2 linked regions of the Struthio camelus genome follow. The main gene of each other region encodes a partner of the protein of the gene in region 2 in a complex. Links are inferred from orthologs where the notes say so. Each region holds a gene or a part of one and is shown on either strand. Other genes may lie near its edges.

Evidence for each region.
Region 1: the proteins of MUSK (region 2) and DOK7 are in contact, whole or in part, in a crystal structure (PDB 3ML4), measured with the Mus musculus proteins. The link is inferred for Struthio camelus from reciprocal best matches to the Homo sapiens genes MUSK and DOK7. Residues at the interface, in NP_035074.2 of Mus musculus: Leu547, His548, Pro549, Asn550, Pro551, Met552, Tyr553, Gln554, Arg555; in NP_001335203.1 of Mus musculus: Leu154, Ser155, Asp156, Leu157, Arg158, Arg159, Tyr160, Gly161, Gly172, Thr173, Arg174, Ser193, Asp197, Val200, Arg201.

The regions. Positions count from the first base shown.
Region 1 is NC_090945.1:76,474,961-76,484,801, forward strand, and holds the start of DOK7 (protein Dok-7), read right to left. Parts: upstream 3,707-9,841; 5' UTR 3,534-3,706; coding exon 3,480-3,533; intron 3,325-3,479; coding exon 3,279-3,324; intron 1,543-3,278; exon of another isoform or gene 1,222-1,542; intron 483-1,221; coding exon 252-482; intron 1-251. Other genes in the region: HGFAC (hepatocyte growth factor activator), read right to left, coding at 7,461-7,634. UniProt on the Homo sapiens protein: Probable muscle-intrinsic activator of MUSK that plays an essential role in neuromuscular synaptogenesis. Acts in aneural activation of MUSK and subsequent acetylcholine receptor (AchR) clustering in myotubes. Induces autophosphorylation of MUSK.
Region 2 is NC_090982.1:17,587,145-17,596,599, forward strand, and holds the start of MUSK (muscle, skeletal receptor tyrosine-protein kinase), read left to right. Parts: upstream 1-5,617; coding exon 5,618-5,696; intron 5,697-9,455.

The sequences.
Region 1 (9,841 bases), on a different chromosome or scaffold from region 2:
TTCAGTGGCCCAATCAAAAAGTAAGTTGAAAGCTCTCACAGTTAGCAGCCAGTACTGAGCAGTAATATACTCAAAACGTATCTTAAGAGACAGCTGCTTTAAGATGCAAAGGAAAGAACAGACTCTTCACCATCAAATGAGTGACAGTTTTTTCCTTAACTGTACTTTATTATTTGCATTTTAGCTCTGCTTTTCTTTGCTTTCTTCTCAAAGCAAAAAAAAAAAAATGAATATGACAAGACAAAGGTTACCTTCCCCCAAACTGTAGCGGATTCGTACATCCCACGCATACATTGTTTCCTTGTTCTCAAATCCCAGCATCACAACTTGAGAGAGACAGATGATTGCAAGCGTGTGATTCAAGCCCTCATAGGGGAGCCCAGGATCCAAGCCACAGATGTCTTCTAAGGTCACGCTGCTCCTCTCCTTATGCCCTTTTGCTCGTTCAGATTTATCCTTGTACACCAGCATGAGCAAACAATCTAAAAGAAGCAAAACTGTCAGAGAGGATGAGGCAGAACAGAACACAACACAATTCTCAGTACTCTGATTCAAAATAAAAGTGCTTTTGACAATTGGAGGGTCAGTCTGATCAAGAACTCTGTTTCCTCCCCCACTAAGCAATTCACAGCCCTCACATGCAGAGAATAAATATTGAAGGCATTTTTCAAGTGTAATCTGCAGGGTCAGAAACAAGAAGGCAAGTAAAAACTCTTCCCAATTATTTTACTTTTCCAAAATCCAGTGATTTTCCAGATAGCCTTCTGCATCTGGAAGATAACTGACTGATCAATTCTGAACATTAGCAGTTACTCTATGATAGCTGTTCACATTATAAACACTAAAGCTGAGAGACTATTGTCATCTATATTTCCATTAGAACATATTGAACCACATATGAAATTCTCACAGTAGTTCACAGATTACTCAACTACTAAATGGTGAGCAGGCTACATGGCCAGGGAGATTGTTAGTGTCAGCTCAGGTTTCCTAGTTAAATGTTACACAGTAGCTATTGCTAAATAATCATTATGTGCCATACTTACTTTTTTTAGTATTTGCTTGTGCCACCATTTGTTTTTAACCCCTTCCTGGAGCTGTTATTACCCAGTAACTATGCAATGCAAGAAAGTAATCCAAATGTCACAGTCACACGGAAGAAGGGCATTTCATGATCAAACGCAAAGGGCAAGGAGAGAAAAAAAAAAAGCACTCCCTCACCTTTTGCATTTGATAACAATAGCCTCTTCCTCCAGGGTACCTTCTTATCATATAGCACTCAATTCTAACTGAAATTAACAGTAAATATTGAAGTTATAATATCCATTGCTTAAGCTGATTTACACACTGCAAAGGAGAAAGCCCTGTGTGCTCCATTTAGTGAATGTTGGGGTGGTGTGCTCTGAACCCTGGCAAGGGGCCTCTACTGTGAAAAGGGCTGGCAAATCTCCAAAGAGGTGAAAAATGACGGAAGGATTGAACTGCCTGTTAACTAAAGCAAAACTCTGCATGCATTCCCAATTGTTTTCTTGCACCTGTTAGCAGAAACAGCTGCAACCACGAGATTTAAGGATTCCATAATACAGCTGCCTGTCTGGAGAAAGAAAAACTAAGATTTACAGAACAAATAAGCAAAACCTTGGGGGTTAGCTAACGTGGCTAATTTAAATGGCTATAATAAAAATAGTATCTCTGAGAAATAAGCTATATTATCTGTCAGTAGATTTCCAAAGAAAGTTCCCCTCCCTTCCTCCCTTCAAACTTTGTTTCCTCATGTTAGAAATCCAGACCCATACTCACATGTCTAAATATGAACACTAGGACCAACAGATGCCCATTCAGGGAGGGAAGTTTAAGAAATTCAGTCAAGATATAGGTTAAAATAACTATTTAAGACGCTAACAAGTTAACTGCAATAACTCAAGTAACAAGGAGTTGGGTCTGAGGTTCACTTATTAACAAAAACAACAAGTCTGCCAGCAACAACCTCAGAATGATTCCATAATCCATCCCAAAGCACTGTGGATTCACGTTTTGTAAACGTGGGCAACAATTAGCCCTGGAAATACATACTTCTCGGGCCAAATATTTTCCCCTTTAGAAAAAGATGGGCTTCTTAAAACCTATTTTTCCCCTCTCCAGTAGCAAAACATCAGCTTTGAATAAAATCTTCAATTTTCCCTTCAAAAACACAGAAATTAAGTTTTCAACTCAAAAAATGCCACTTTCTTTTTAAACTGAAATATTTCATGTCAATACACTGATTCAAAATAACCACCAAACTTAACATGTCAACTTTTTTACAGCCACCCTAAGGGGGGGAAAAAAAATTTCTGTTTTTTTTGTTTTGTTTTGTTTTTTTTTAAGAACTCTGAACTGACATTTTAAACAGGAACCAAAAACGAATAGTCATGCCTTGGAACGTGGGTTTTTCAGTTGTTTTACTTCATATCTGGTCAGAACGCCCAGATTGCTTGAAGCTACTAAAACCTTCATTCTGAAGGTCTGAATTTACAGTCGCTGGCAGCGCTTCCTCCGGCCGCTCCAAACATCATAACCTGGCACCAGCGCGCGGGTTTCATCGTTGCCAGAAAAACTCCTGCCAGCGGCAGCGTTACGAGGGGGCTGCAGGGGTACATAGCGTATAACCTGCCAGGGAAGCCACCCCCGGGCTCCACTCAGGCAACAAGCAGTCTCCCACAGGCAGGGCATGCCCAGCATTTTGGGGGTGGGGGAGGCAGCACCCCGCCATTTGGCGGAGGGGAGGGGGGGGACGCCCCGCCATTTTGGGGGGCCGGTTACCACAGCGGGGGCGGCGCCAAGGCCGGCGGCGAAGCGCTGCGGCAGGAGCCGTTAACGGCCGCCAGCCAGACCCCCGCGAGCTGCGAGAGGGAGGAAACATGAAGCCCGGCAGCTTCTCCTGCGCTCCCTCCTCGCCTTTGCGTTCGTTACACTTCGGGGCTCTTTCAGTAGCCTCTATTTTTGGCCGCCTGGCCTCTTGCTAACTGAGCCCATAATTTCACACTCCTTCCCCCTCCCCCTTTTTTTTTTTTTTTTAACAAAAAAGAGGAAAGAGCAGCGATGGCTGGAGGAGAGCCCCGCTGAGGGCCGGGGCGCTCTCCTCCTGCGGCACCCAACCTCGAGGAGGGCTGTGTAAACTCAGCTGGCGCCTCGCTTTCTCTGGGGCCCCAAATGGTGCCTCCCCCTGGCCGGGCGGAGGAGGGGAGAGGGGGACAGCCGGGGAAGGCACAGCCTGGGCCCCCCCCCGCCGCTCTTACCTGCCACCGGGGACGGCTTGCGCAGCACCAGCCACCTACTCTTCCACTGCAACGAGAGGCAAAAGGACAGGGTTAGCCAGGGCCGGAGCGGGCTCCCTCTCCCCTCCCGCGGCAGCCCCTCGCGACGGGGGGGAGCCGGTCGGGGACCCCCGGCCGCGGCCCGCAGCGGGACCGGACCGAAGGGGCGCCGAGAGCGGGGACCTTTTTTCCATCTCTCAACTTGACGTGACCCTCCACCACCACGGAATCCGTCATCTTCAGTCATGATTCCGGACAGCTGCGCCCGGCTCGCTGCTCCCTCCCCGCGCTCTGGCCGAGGGGTCACTTTCAAAATAGCTTTATTAGGTCCCCGCACAGGCACAGGGAGCGAGGCGGGCGCACGGCCAGGGCGGCGCGGCGCGGCCCTCCCCGGCGCCCCCCGCCCCACTGGCCGGGGGCCGGGCCGCGGAGGGGAAAGGTGGCCCCAGGAAACTCGACGAGTTTTGTTTTATTGTGGTACTTTATTGCCTTGTTTTGTTTTTCTGGTTTTTTTTTTCCTCCGATTCGGATAGCACGAGACGGGGCACCCAGAGAGCGACGGCCCCCGCCAGGGCCGCCGCGACGGCGCTCCTTCGGCAGCTGAGCGCCGCCCACCCCAACTCCCGCGGCGATCCAGCTCCGGGCTTTGCGGCTGACCGCCGAGGGCGACCTGCGCCCCGGCTCGGCCGAGGGCCGGCGCGAAAGCCCGGACCGGATCCCCCGCCGCCCTCCAGCAGCGGGATCCGGAGCGGGGCCCGGGGCCGGCGGGCGAGACACCCCATTCCGTGCGTCTCTAAACGAGCGGCTTTGCCGTACCGCCCCACTCCTCTTTCCGAAAGCGTAATTACCGATCCCCTCGGCTGCCAGAAGACATTCAGCTAACTACCGCAGATAAAAATACTTTTTTTTTTTTGCTTTGTAATGCAACTGTCACAAGATAACAGCCCACTTGCACAGAACGCGGAGCTGCTACAATTAATAGAATAAGATGTGCTAATGATGTCCTCAGATTTATTTCAATGAGCGATGGCCTAATTAGAGTCCATTATTCCAAAAATACTCCTACTGCATCTTATTTGATGGTAATTAGTTCTTCAGCTTTTTTTAAACAACACCACAGTACATTTGTCTTTCAATAGTATAATAGAAGGGGTGGGTTTTTTTTTTTTTTAGATGTTTGCGTTTATGTCTCTCCTTTTAATTGGTCAATTTGCCTGCAATAACATGTAATTTAATAAAACCATCTTTAAGTGCGTTTCATAATGAATTTCAGGTGTGTTTGTTCAACTGGTTTTGCATCCTAATTCAATTTCTAGATAAATGTTAGGAAAATTCCCATCAGACAAAATTTTGCTAGTAAATTTATGCTGGATTTTCATTCTAACCAAAGTAATAAGCGCTTAAAGAGAGGAAAAAGTGGGGGCAAAATTACCACGGGGAATGCTCAAGAGAAAAGGCAGGAGGCAGAGAGTCCAGGAACATAGTACATAGGAACGATATCCTCAGGGCATGGACCCCTTGCTTAACCTGGAAATTTGCTTCCCTGCTTACAGCCACAGAGCTTAGGGAGGCTAGTGATTGGGTCTGAGGGGTTAACACAGGGCTATTCACTAAAGAGCAGATCCTCAAGTCATGAGGTTTAGTTCTACCAAATCAGTGCAATAACAATGGACAGAGAGGCTATTCTGAAAGCCACAAATTAAGTTTAATGCTTTCAAAATAGGACAGTTAATATCAGCTGCAGATTTGTCATACAGGCCTTTCAAGACAGTAAATGGACTATTTCATCTGTGAACATTCCACATATTTTGAAAAAGGATTTTATTGATGTATGGCTGTTGCAGCACACTGGTATGAACAGCATGCGTTTTGAGAACAAGAGAGCTAAAAAGCTCTATGCAACAGAAGCTGTCAGAGCCACTAACCTAGTAGTAGTGTGCTATCAAACAGCCACCCTCTTTGCAGCAAGGCTGGAAGAATATAAACAACACAAAACCACTAGATTAAAAGCATACTTGGTGCGGGTGGATATTAATTTCAAAATGAAACCAAAGTCACAGAACAGCTACGGCCGTGCAGAGTGGCATAAGCTTTGGGTTGACACCTATTAGCAAGGCACAACAAAAGTTATTCCAAATGAATCACTCCCAAAGAGAGTAAATACTTCCCTCGTGATGACTGAGCACGTCTTTCATCAGCAGGTACGGTAAGTCTTGTAAAAGGTGGAAGTCCTTTCACAGCGTTAACCGAGCCAGCCTCATACTGCAAATGGCCAACGAGATAGACCCAAACAACCTGTCTTCAGATTGTTTTGGCATCAGGACCCCAGAGTTGCATCTCAATTTTTCAAATGCCTGTTTAGTGCTTCAGAAAAATAAAGCCTTCATTTTTAGTATTCACAGTATTTGTAACTGAAAATCAGATCTCAGCTTTGCGACTCAGGCTTCTCCACTCCATATTTTCTGTCTACTGGAAATTTTGTGCGACACTTGCATAAAACTGGGAACACCACTAGCAGAAATACATCCTTATGCAGAGCTTTTCAGACACTTTCCTGAACAGAAGAGTATTATTTAATTTTTCACCAGCCCTCAACCCTACATAATGATTCATATATTTAATTGTAATCATATACAACACAGACAAAGTCCAAGAAACAGACCACAGACATTTTTATTAAACAGTTTACATAATTTATCTAGATTAACATTGTTATATCTTTGCCCTTACACAAATTCAGTTTTTGGTTATTTTTCCTTACAAAGTTTCTTTTAGCTACAGAAATAATTCACCACAACTAAGAGACCCATGAAGATACTGCTGGTACTACCAGAAAATACGTTTCTGAGCCTCCAATCATCACCTTTAAATTCTATATCCTGAAAACTAGCTTTGCCTGAAACACTTAAGACAATTCAAAAATGTTCACTATTAGAGAATAAAAACATTTCACATCAGCACTTCCAAATATACATCACTGACATGGCCAAAGATTCCCTGTATTTAAAAAGTTGTAAGTTTCCATTCTTCTTTATCAGATGAGTCTTTTTTTTCTTTTAATATTAAAGCAGTTTCTGCCTTTTTTGCCAACAGAGCAGTGCACACAGCCACAGCCCTCAGCTATATATTGTAATAACTTCTTTGATTGTTCCCATAATAATTCCACGGTCCATGCAAGCAAAGCATTACGAAACTCTTCACCCCAGCCATCCATTTTAAAAATCTAGAACAGAACCCACCTTTCTGAATTATCAAAACAGTCAAACAATTTGTCAGAACAAGATCTAAGACATCTTTAAAACAGTGTCAAATTTAAGAAATATTTAGAAGTATTTATTGTCAAGGTGAAGTATTCCCACTGTTGTCCTCAGGATGAGGAGCAGCTGATAAGGGTCTGCAAAAGGTCCTAACTATAGCCGTCTGAAACCAGGTGCACTGATTTTCAGTATTTTTCAGTAATAAACTTTGTGCTCTCAGGGGGTGTTACATTAACCGTGCTGGAAAATTGCAGACCAAATTCAGCAGCACTCTGAAGCACAGCCCTAATTTTGTGTCAGTGGAACATAAAAATGTTCTAGCATGTTTCATTGAATCACAACCTAAATCCTCTGTTTTTTCCCCAGAAGTGGTTTGCTGCAGTTAGCTGGGGAGCAGCTTGATCTATATCACTCGGCTGGTGTCGTTCAACCTGAACTTTAAGAGCTCGCTTCCAAGGGGAAGGGAATTTCATTCTCGGTGCTCCTCCCTTTTCCTTTCTTCATGTTCTTAAACTCAGCTGAGGATACAAAGACAACGTTGTTATGGGCTGCTTATAAGGTCTGACACCTCCACCAGAAACTGAGTGAAAACACTCAAATAACTCTTTTCATGCACCCCACCAGGCAGACATCAACAGTTGTGGGTTTGGTAAACTTTTCTTGATATGTTTGTATATCACTAGGCCAAATAAAGACAGGCTCGTACACGGAGCTGTCCACAGCCCTACAATTCTAGATCAAAGACACTAACATCAGCTGGATTAGGCCTACTTTCAGGGGTCAGTTCTGAAATTGCAAAAAATTACTATGACAGTTTTCATATTATTTTATGATAAAATATTCACGCCAATTGAGTGAAACTGAAAGACTGCTGAACGTTGCTTGCAATGGTAGCATGTTTGTGTGTTCAACTTGTGCTTCTTCGGGGGGCTATCTTCTCGTTAATCCAGTTTACATAGTTGGTCACTCGCGTATATACTCCAGGTCTGTCGACTCTGCCACAGCCATCTCCCCAGCTGATAACTCCATACAGGTAAGAGATTTCATTTTTATCACAGGCCAGAGGTCCACCAGAATCTCCCTGTGTTAAAAATAAGGAAAGATTATCTAATTTGACAGAAAATAATTGGAAAAAGAGCAGTCAGAGAAAGTCCCAAAGGGAGACTCGCTGGAAAAGATAACTTATGTTTCTGACTTCTACAATGAGATTTCTGATGCAAAAACTTTAACCTTCTTGTAACCATGCATTAAATGGAGTTACAGGTATGATTAAAAAAAAATTCAATAAGAGCAATTTCTAAAATCAAACTTCAGTAGGCTAGTGCTTCCATATTCACTTTTTTAGTCCAAATCTCATATGCAAACATTCTGAATTACGATGGCGGATTCTTTTATTCCACATTAAACACAGGTATCAAAATACCAGATTTTGCCAAAGACACTTTTTGAAACACTCTTAGAATCAGATGCTTACTGAAGAGCATGGATGACTTGGCTCAGTTTCAATGGGAGTCAGTCAGTCCTTAGGGCTAACACTTTAAATTGTAATATAGATAGATTACATAAGGCAGAGAATATTTGAAGAGTTTCTCAGTGTATTGAAACCCTCAGAGATCACAAAAGTGTTCAGAGAGCTGTTGCATACACACACACATACACTTTTCCATGGAACTGTGTGATGCTGCAATTTTACATGGCTTGCGCCCACCGGCATGTGTTGAATGCGATGCTACTGAGCATTTAGCATGCCATTGAAATCATAAACCAAATTGTTTGAGACTAAGGAGAAATATCTATTTTCTATTTAAAAAGAAATTCCTTTGAGAGCAAAGCAGGAAGAAAAATTGTGTTGCCTTGTATTAGGAGATTTCTCTGACAAATGAGGAACATCAGATGCAGTCTTGTCTCTGAGATTAATTTACTTCTCAGGACCTTGCTTATTACTCCACATCTCAGAAGTTCTACTGATTGCAATTTCTGTATCAATTCACTGATTTAAAAAAAGAGTTACCAAGAAAAATCTTTTAAAATAATCAAGCAGAACACATTGTCTACTTGGTATTTATTGGTCTTGAAATATTTGTATACATATCACATGGTTTATAGATTAATTTCCTGAGCATACATTAAGAAAATTCAAAGGTCAGCTACATTTGTTGTGACATTAAGAGGTCTACGCTATTGCTATTTAGACCACACTACAAGTCTGCTGTCAAGGAAAAAAATTAATTATTGATTCACTAATAATGATTTCAGGTCATGAGCACTGTATTGCAGCAACATCTGTGACTCTAAATCAGTGTTTCTCAGACTTTGCAGCTCTCTTTAGACCTTTTGTCTTTGTGCAGCTCCTCTCTCCTTCATTCCCTCGTTCTTTACCTTCTTTCTCCCTCCTTTGTTCCTGAGCAGCTCTGTTTCTCCAGGGCGGGGAGTGAGAACAGAACTATAACACTGAATACTTGTATTACTTCCTGGGCAAAGTAATGAAAACTGAGCAAGCAAGGTAGTTCACAGTTCTCTAGCTAGTAGGAACTCTTGGAGCCAATAACCACAACCAGCTCTCATCTTGGCATGGAAACCCTGAGCCACTGCTGGCTGCTACCATTTCACCTTTCTTGGGACACTCATGATCTCTATGGGGCTCCAGCGCACAGTACACATTATATTCTTTACTTAATCCCACTGCCAAATATTAAACATGTGCTGGCTGTTCCCCAAATTAGTGCTAAAGGAGTGCAACCGATACCAACTAAAGATACAATCAAAAGTTTATCCAAGTAACAGCCTGGTCCTTAGTTTAAAAAGCAGTCTAATCTATCGCCACAGCAGCTCTGTCGCCTCATTCAGAGCTGGAGTGTGACACAACTCAAGAAGAATTGCAAAGCGGTAAGAAGACGAGGTTGTTCCATGAAGGGTGGGAGTCGTGAAATACAGTTTCCAACAGGCTGATACTCTACACTGTTAGAATCCGTCCACTATAATAACCTCGGTTCCTTCCCCCTCCAAGCCCCACCACTGCTCCACACCTCCCACCCAGGTGTCCTTATTTCCACGCAGGCAAGGGGCAGCAGCTACTGGCGCTGGCTCTGCAAGAGCTGCCAGCTGGCCACTGGAGCACTGCCATCACATTGCAATCTCCCAGCCACAAGCTAAGGCAACTCATCCATTGCATAGCTGGTTTTTATGAAGCTAGGAGGGATTTAATGCCTTGGAGGTTTTTGCTTCTCTGAGGAACTTAGTTGACAGTGAGCGGGTTAAAAAATTACCATGGAAGCAAACGCTATGGAC
Region 2 (9,455 bases):
GCAAATCTTAGATTTTTCCAGTAATCACAAAATCTTAAGACCAAAAAAAAAAGAGGAATATTTTAGAAATGAGGCTTTAGAGTTCAGAAAATGTTGAAATACTAGGAGGAGATTGAAGATTGGTCCAAATGGCTGAAAGGTCAAGCCAAGTGCTCCTAAAACTCTGTAACTGCAGCATAAGAAGCAGTCTTTGGATGTGGGTCCATGCTCCTTAAAGAAATGTCTTGAGAAGCTTGAAAGGAATGTCTTTCCTTCATTTTAACAATTCAGAAAAAATATAAGCGCAGAGTACAGCACAGCAGCAAAACAGCTTTCTCTCTCACATGTTTCAGTCTATTCAGCATTTGGTACTACCGACCCAAGCAATGAGATCCTATGGGCCATATGTTTGTTACAGGTTGGGCTAAATCTCCTTAGCTGTAAGAGCAGCTTTTGCTCGGGATGAGGATAAAGAAGCAAGTTATGATGTGTAACGAAAGAACTAAAACGCTGTTTACATCCTCCACAAACACGGGCATGTGTTGTTATACCTTTCCATATCATACAACCAGAAGCATGCGCAGCATTTGAGCAGTGGTGGGAGCACATGAAGGTGGGACTGGGAGGACTGGTGTTCCCATAACCTTATCAGCAATGAATTCCTAATGCATTTCTGTTTAGGAAGACACATGGGCAGACGGCAGACCCAAGTAGCTGGAATGTTTCGCTGCCAACTGTTTTGTGAAGACTCCTGCATCAGAGAGCCGAGGAGCTTTGAAGAAGGAAGCAGCAAGGGAGCACCAGACACAGGCTTAGCGAATGTGGAAAGAGTGGCTCCAAGAGAAAGAGTATGAGGTGTATGTGCTTCTGAGTTGCACCTTGGCTGCAAGACGCTTGGAGCCACGACCGGAGAGCGGCCACTCACCCTCTGATTCCAGCTGTGTTTAGGGAAACAGAATGGGTGCTGTCATGGTAAATAAAGGCAGCTGCATTAAAAATAACCAGCCCCGTGACCCATTTTTTCTGCTAAATTAATCCATTGTCAGAAACCTCCCATTGAGGCTTATTGCCTGGGTCAAAAATTAGTCTAACATCTACAGATGCTTGAATATGGAATTTTTAAAAGCACTCAGCATTAGCCAAATCGGGGTCGGGGGGGAGAGTCAGAGCACTGTCATAGTGTTTTGTCACATGCTTGGACACTGTGGCACAGAAAACTGAGCTGCATATCTTGTAGGTTGCAGTACGGCAGGGTAGCAGAAATACATCCAGTTTATTTCTAAATCAGGCTTTTCTGAATATTGGAAAATCTGTAAATGACCACAGATGCCCTCAACCAACACCTGCCCTCTAAGCCCAATATAAAGTGCAGTATTTGCAAAGGATAAAGATTGTGCATGGTTTTCCACATGAAACACCTTCACAATATGGAAAAATCAGACTTCATCCTGAAGTGTGTTTCAGCAGTTGTTTTCCATCTTCACTAATGACAGCTTCACCTGCGTTAGCCTCTGTTTTTGTGCCTTTTGTCTCCAGTGACAACCAAGGCTCTGGATTTCCTTGCGGTGAGAATATGCTTATGCTTAGCCTTGTTGGTCACATCAGTGGCTTTACTGATTGCACTGTAGGAGTGGCAGATGAAAAAAACAGAATCCACAACGGGGAAAATCTTATTTTCAGATACAAATACATCCAGTTATTTATATCAAGGGTGAACCTATTACCCACTCTAGAGTCCCAAACTCAACTAAAAGCAAATATCTGCTTTCAGGAGTTTTCCCCTACATAGTAATACTTACTGCTTGCATACCAGATAATAAAATAGTTGCATATTTCATCACGTATTTTCAGTCTCTAAAGTCTGGACCTCATGAGTCTGTGGGTTATGCCTAAAAGGGTTGCAGAAGGAGACCAAGAAAAAACACGTTTGTTCATATTATACACTGGTATATACATGGGACTTTTCTCCAGGATCCTCTGCTCTTTGCTGGGAATTTTTTAGGGAACTACAGGTAGAAGGGGTTTGAAGAGATTGGCTGTGTCAGTACTCATCCCTTACTCTGGCGGGTTTAACGCTTGGTCTTTTTAGGGCTTGATCATTATGTGTATGAATAGAGCTGAATAATAATGACCTAGTAGTCTTTAGGGATTCTTGCTGCTGGTGAAAAGCAAGTAAAAATAGTCAGTGTGGCCTCGCACTGAGTGTGGTGTGTCAGGCCTCAAACCTGCTCTCAGGCCTCAGAGACTACATCTGTGCTGCAGTCAGAAACATCACTGAAGTACCAGTAGTAGCAAAGCTAAGATGTGCTGTGTTTGTTGAGGGCTGCACCAGTGGACCTTGTATTTACTCAGGTAGGTTGCCAACACTGGCATGCATGACATTGCATTAAAATGGACATCTGGGCAGGCTGGACTAGTGCTAACTTGGATATATCTACATGAGTAGCCTCCAAACCTCTCCCTGGGACCATTGCCAAAGCAAGTTCGTTCTGTTCCTCTGCAGAGGGAATTTGTTCCCCAGCTGGACACCTTCTTCCGAAAATATCTGGCCTGGTCTGTCCACGTGGATGAAGATCTTGGACTGTCTAGAGAGAAAACATCCCAGCTGGTGATGTGGAGGAAAGGCAATTTTCAAAGTATCCAGCTATCAAATCATGTGATGTTAGAGTTTGAAACTGTCAGACGCCAGCAGAGCACGTGCAAGAAAGAGGGAGAGGAGAGATATGCACAGAAAATGATTGGAATGATCCTGTCCTGCAAACAGTGAAGATCAAATTTTTCCTCATCATGGCGGAGAGTTAACAAGCAATCAATTAACTGAAAGACATTAATCTAAACTATTCAGCACATCCTCAAAAATTCGGACTTTCTTTGTATGACTAAAAATAACTTTGCAAACAATTTGCAAAGGGAAAAAATGGTAACCAGGTAATAGGTAACTCCAGCACACCTTGTAGGAGATGATGCATGCCCTGCAGTTCCTCCCCTCTCTTACCTTTGTAGGCACTGACTTCAGAGATGTATTTCTGCACTGAACTTCATGCACCGATTTCCCTGGAGCTCTTCAGAGAGTTAAGCTAATGCACAAACCTTTGCAGGAACAAAGCTTTAGACTGCAGCGCCTGCAAGCTGGGGTCTGCTTCTCATTATGAGTTGTCTAGGCCGCTGGGACCTCATCTCGGATGAGGCCTGGAGGCATGACTGTAAACAATAACTATAATTAGCTATAAACTGTATGCATTTCAGCTCTGTTAGGAAAACAAACAAACAACAAGCTTATAACTACTTGGAGTAAAAGTTAAAAGAGCATTTTACTTTTATAAGCTCAAGACTGAAAATATCTTTGGAACCAAAGAAAAGTTGGTGTCCCCAGTATTTCAATTCCACTGATTTCACTCAGTACAGTGGCCTGTTGGACTCACCTCCCTTTGCTGTGTCCAGGTACAGAAATGTCTTCTTTCTGTGGTGGGCAAAGATGATCACCAGCTTCCCATATGTATTTTGTCTACTGGCCATTTGACGTGTATCTGCAGAACAAAGTAGCTTCACCTTGGACAAGCATATCCTCTCATTTGTGTTCACATTTATAATGTAAATTTGCATTCCTTCAATTCAGAGTAGCTTAGCTTACTACAAGCTTAATAAAAATTTAGAAAACATAGGAAATGAGAAGTTAGCAGTTGTTTGGCAATCCTAAAAATGAAAAGGCATTAACATTTAACAGCTATTGCTGTCAGTGTCATTTCTAAATGCTTTAATCAGCAAGCATAAAGAGAAAGAGTCATTCCTGGACTTGTACAAGATGGTACAGTTTTGAAGTCCTCGTAACACAACCCGGTTAAAAATCCAGTGATTCTGGGCTCTTTGGTCACCTCTCTCCGTGAAGAGAATTTTACCCTAAAAGACCAAATTGCATTTCTATGAAGCAAATGAACTGGATGTGACTGGACTTAAACAACACAGAAGAAATATTTTAAAGTTCAGCCATAAGTCAGGATTTCTTTGTTCCCTGGTATAATTACTATTGTTTCGTTGTTGTCTTGTTGTTATGTTTTGTGGTTGTTGCTAGCTCCAGAATTCCTGAAACATCTTTAACGTATGTTTGATGAATACCTCTGCCTTTAATTCAAGTTCAGGGGAGCATTTGTCTAGGGATCCTTGCTCCCGGTCATGGTTGCATACCCCCAAAGTATCATGGATATTATTATGCTATACCAAACCACTGAGATTCTTACATATAGTTCTGGCCACCTTTTCTCCATTTGCTCCTCAGAGGAAACACTTCTTAACTATGTACATTCATTGCAAAAATAACTGCTAATAGGAAGTTGAAACTGAGATGTCCAGCAAGTAAAGGAAATTCCAAAGATCTCAAAGTACCTTTCACTGTGATACGTCATGGCTGCACATTCCCTTCCCTCGAACCATGCCTTTTAATGCTTCGGGGAGCAAAACTCACACCTGATACGTCATGTTCCCAGGGCACCATTGTCAGTTAGATTCTCCCTAACCTAATTATTCATCTTTTTCTCTTCTGTTCCTGCAAATGTTGCCCCCAGACTAGCCATTCCACGCCGTTAATGCTGATCGTAAACGTCGTTCATATAAATAGCTACACAGGGAGAACGGGGACTGCAACTGACCTGAAATTTTTTGCAAGAAGATGATACGACACAGACCCCTGTGATAAGAAGGGGCGAGAGTCAAGTTAGTTAGATCCCCTCAAGCCTGATGCCCCGCTAAAGCTCCCTAGAAAATATGACCTTCACTTTAAACAGAGACCTAGTGAATAGTATGATATTTTTGAGGCAATAATGTTGGCATCCACCATTCAATTTAGTTAAAGGAATGCCTCTACCCATGTCAAAATCTCCTGTGCTGTTGCTGATATTAAAATGAAATATTTGTTTTCTTGCAGGGTATAGATGTCACTCCCACTGTGGCTACTCATTTTTCCCTTCCACAGAGCTTATGAGGGGTCTGTTTCCAGGACAAGGCTCTGCTTTTTCGATTTGCTGCAGTGATTCTCAGTACTGGCAACCTCCTTGGCAAAGATGACTGCTTTCAGCTCCCAGATGCCAACCTCTCCTGCTCTAGCAAATGTATCTGTTAAGAAAAGAAATGCAATCAGCAGGGGAACAGGTGGTTTATTGCAGCCAATCATGAAAGGTTATAATAAGACAGAGGGAGTCGGAGAGAGGGAGAGAGGAGAAAAAATGAAAGAGAGAAGGACTAAGCTGAAGGAAAATCCAGTGGCAAAAATTTTTTCCACTGCCGTACTTACACTGTGCTGAAATTATGGCCTGCTGATTTTACTGTATTGGGTTAGGGTATTGTTTTGGAAAAGCATTTGGCCATTGTATTCCTCACTGTTTGCTTAAAAGGAATTCTAAAGGGATTTGCTTTCTCTTGTTTCATGAGCCCCACGGTTTCACACTGACCTAAGTGGATACACACCAGCTGGTCACGTCCATCACCACAGCCAAGTCTGAGAATTCCTGATTATACTTAGATCCCATAGACCCTGCTCAGTCGTTAGCGCAGGAACTTTTTGTTAACACACCATGGTCTAAAATGAAACAGGCAGTGAGCTCCGTACACGTTGCCTGAAGGAGCCGTCTATTTTTCTGGATCAAACATGAAAGATCTCCTGAGCATTCCCTTCGTACAAATCTTCACCCTCGCAGCCCTCAGCTTGGCTGAGAAGCTTCCAAAAGGTTTGTTTAAAGAGTTTTCATCTTTCTCTGTTTTTGCCACTTGGTAAGGAGATTTCACAAGGGAGAGGCATCGTTGGTAACTGTGGGGTGGGCGCTGTTGTAGCATTCCTGAAAACTGCAAAAATGTGCTGCTTTCAGCTTCATCTGTCTAGTGGTCGCTTTGTTGTTTTTAGAAAAAATCAATGAAAATAATCTCATATTTGTGTCTCAGATCGAAGCTTGTTTGCCCAGGAGTAGCATTTAGTCCCATTCTAACGGACAAGGAAGACCTTAGGTCCAGTCTGTGTGGGATGGACACGTCTCTTGTCAAAGGAACGCTACAGGTTTAAAATACTAAAAGTGCACAGTGTTGTGGAATCCACAGCTTTATGATATTCTGCGTGCTTATGTATGCTTACAAATGTATATAGCTTAAAGATGAAGCAATTAGCTTTGATGCCTTTATAGTGGCTATGTATATAAATATTCTTCATATCTACTGCATAGAACATTTAATTATTATATCTACTTCCTCCTTGGTAGGCACACAGGCACACACGCACACAAACAGATGTACACCCCTTCTAGTCAATATAAGAAATGGAAAAAGGTCTATTCAGAAAAGTCTTTGAGGTAGGAAGGGCAGCAGTGATCTTCTGGATTGGCCATAGGGTAACCCTGTGGACAAAAAGGTTCCATCCCATAGCAGTTATCAGGATTCAGTCACAGTACGTCAGAAAATGTACAGCTTCAGGAAAAAAACAGAAAAACTCAAGAAGACCAGTAGTCACCTGTTAGGCCAACATTGCTGCTCTTCCCTTGCTGTATTACAATTGGAAGTTAGGTTGGCCTCAGAAATGAAAACCAAGAACATATCTTCGTAAAAAGCTTTTGAAATCAAATGTTAATTTATTTCAAAGGCAGTATAGTTGGTGATCCATGCTCTTTTTCAAAGCTCTGGTAAAACATGATTGCTGGGACAAGAAAAACAAAGGAATGGGAGTGATTTTTTTCTGGGTGGCGTTGTACAATGAAGAGATACAAACCCTTTCTTGAAACAGAATATTTCTCAAACACTTGAAACATCAACGTGTAGCTGGATTGCCACGTTTCTCAGCAGGGGCTGAATATGCAAATACAGCAAAGTGGTATCCTATAGAGGTTCTGCAGTGTTAGTTGGAAACACGTTTGTGAGCAGTTTTTGACTACAGGAGATGCAATATTGCCAAGTGTCTGTAACATTGCAGTGCAGATCGGCTCTACTTTTGGTTTTGTTTTATTCCCTTGGTTTCTCTCATTTTAAAATTACAAAGCAAAAATCAAAACCAAAATAATCTGTTACTTTCTAGTGGGCCAAAGGTAGAAGAGAGTTTGGTTTTCTCTCAAGAGGTAAGGAACAATTTGGCCCTGTAACTGGCTGTGGGTGATTTTGCAACATCCAGGAACTACAGCAGACATCCAGGAAAATGGCACCTGAGTAGCTTTACAGATGTGTAAACTATTTGATTTTCAATATTATTTAAAGCCACAGCGCAGCCTAAAGTTGTAAGAGACCGTGATGCACGTCGCACAAAGATCTTGGGCTGTCTCTGAAAAAAACAGTAAATATCAGTGTTTTGTTTTGATTTGATTTTCCCAGGTTAAAATCTGGTAATACAGGCTCCATAAGTTTTGATTCCTTTCCTGGGAGAACATCGACTGATACCGGTAGCTGAGCCTTTTTGATGGCTCATTATAAAGAAGCACCATTGCAGCCATTTTGGGGCTGCCTCGCTGTATTATAACAAAATGGCGGTACACTCCCCCACTTACTGTGTCGCATCAACGTACCACGTGTTCTGCGTTTGTGCCCTTTTTCCCTCTCACCATAGCAAAAGGAACGTTTTCTTGACCTTCTCTGCTCTCCCAGCATTTAATTATAGTTCGGGAAAGATAAGGCTATAGGAGAATATTTACAGGATGCATTACTGTTGCTAACGTGATTATTCTTCAAGGCTCCCAGGCTTTCTATGAATATAGGCTTGATTCTGTCCTAAGAGTTGTGTGATTGATTTCAGGGGATGCGACATCAGACCCCCAGTGGACAATGTTGCTAAAGATAATTGTGTCATATGTTGAACTGAAAAGATACCAGGAAACTCTTTAACTGTTCCAAATGAATATATTTACTATACGGACCTGATAGTCCTTGTTTGCCCAAATAATAAAATGCTGCCATCATGCAGCTGGCATGCTGGCTTTTAGTACAAATCCAACTTTATTCTATGTCAGAACAGCCATTCTTATTGTGGCAACACAGTCATAAAACCGGTTGCTTTCAGTTTGGCTTACTATGTGAATTTACATTTCTCAGGGTTAAAAAAAGCACCCTTCAGGGGAGATCAAGGCATATGGACAACAGCAATAAAAACATCATATATAAAATTAGACTGCAAAAAGCTGTTTCGGTCAGACTTACTTCCACCAAAACCCCATAAAATCTGTCATGAAATAGTAACAACCCCTTTGAAGAAGATAGGACAGCCATTAATGGAGCTTATTCTCCAGAGACAGTTTTCACCAGCAGGGAAATTTAGGCTTCATCAAAAACTTCCATTCAGTTCGACTGAGGTGGGATTCATCCCAGGTGCAATATGCACAGACAGTACCTTCTATCTAGTAGTAAATCAAAGCCTGATACGATTTAAAGCAGTGGTCTCAAACAACAGTCCGGACAAAGACATGTGTCATACGTTTGCATATAACCCTTAGTCCTATCTTAGGTATAGTTTTAGGATCTTCTTTTCGTATGAAATAGTAATCACTAACTATGCAATCTGTACTCATATAATACAGAAATGCTATTTACATAGATTTATTTGAATGACATTTCAAAGGCATTGGGCCTTTGTACATAAATCGGATAGCTGAAGTTAAAAGAGTAAGTCAATTTTTGATCTCCCTAGCTTCAGTCCAGCTGAACCGCAATGAGATTCTAGTTTTTACTCCCATATAAATTAAAAAATAAGTAAGGTAAATGCGAAATACTAACCTCAGTAATTGATATTGGAGTATCTTGTTTTGGCCATGTTTTAGGAGAGAGGGGTAAAATTGGTGCTGTTTGTTTACTTTTTGCTAATACTTAAATCTAATTGTACTAAGAAGAGTCAGCAGATATTGTGCAGGCAGGCCTTTTCTGTGAGAAGACACTCAACGTGCCAGATAATGCTAATCAAAACATATCCTGTGATAATTTACGACGGGTAGGGCATTTTGTTCGTACTGTATTGTGAAGGAAAAGGAAGATTCTTACATCCCTTGCACATTTGCAAGGTGATGTTTAAGGAACATGGTATGAAACTAGTTCATCTAGGCACAGCTGTCAATGAAATCCAGTCCAGCAAATATCGTATGTATGTCCCTCACAGCAATATATTAAAAGCCATTCATGTGTCTTTGGCTGCAATGGCTGCAATGCATACCATGTGCAGGGAAAGTAATTCACTAGGAGTACCCTTTGATCCCTTCCATCCACACTTCAGTACTTTACCAGTGTGATGGAAAATGTGTTTCTAAAGATAAATTCAGATAATGTATGATGACAGTTCTGTGATAATAAGCATAAGGTACAGTTATTAGACTTTTAACTGTGGTGGTATTTGGTCAGAGAAGATGAGGAAAAGATCATGTGCACTCGTCAGGCTTTGAATTTGGAAGACCTGAAGGGCCCTTACAAGCCTCCCTTTCAAAAAAATAGTGTTATATTTTAATTCAAAAAAAAAATAGTTGAGGGGAGCCAAA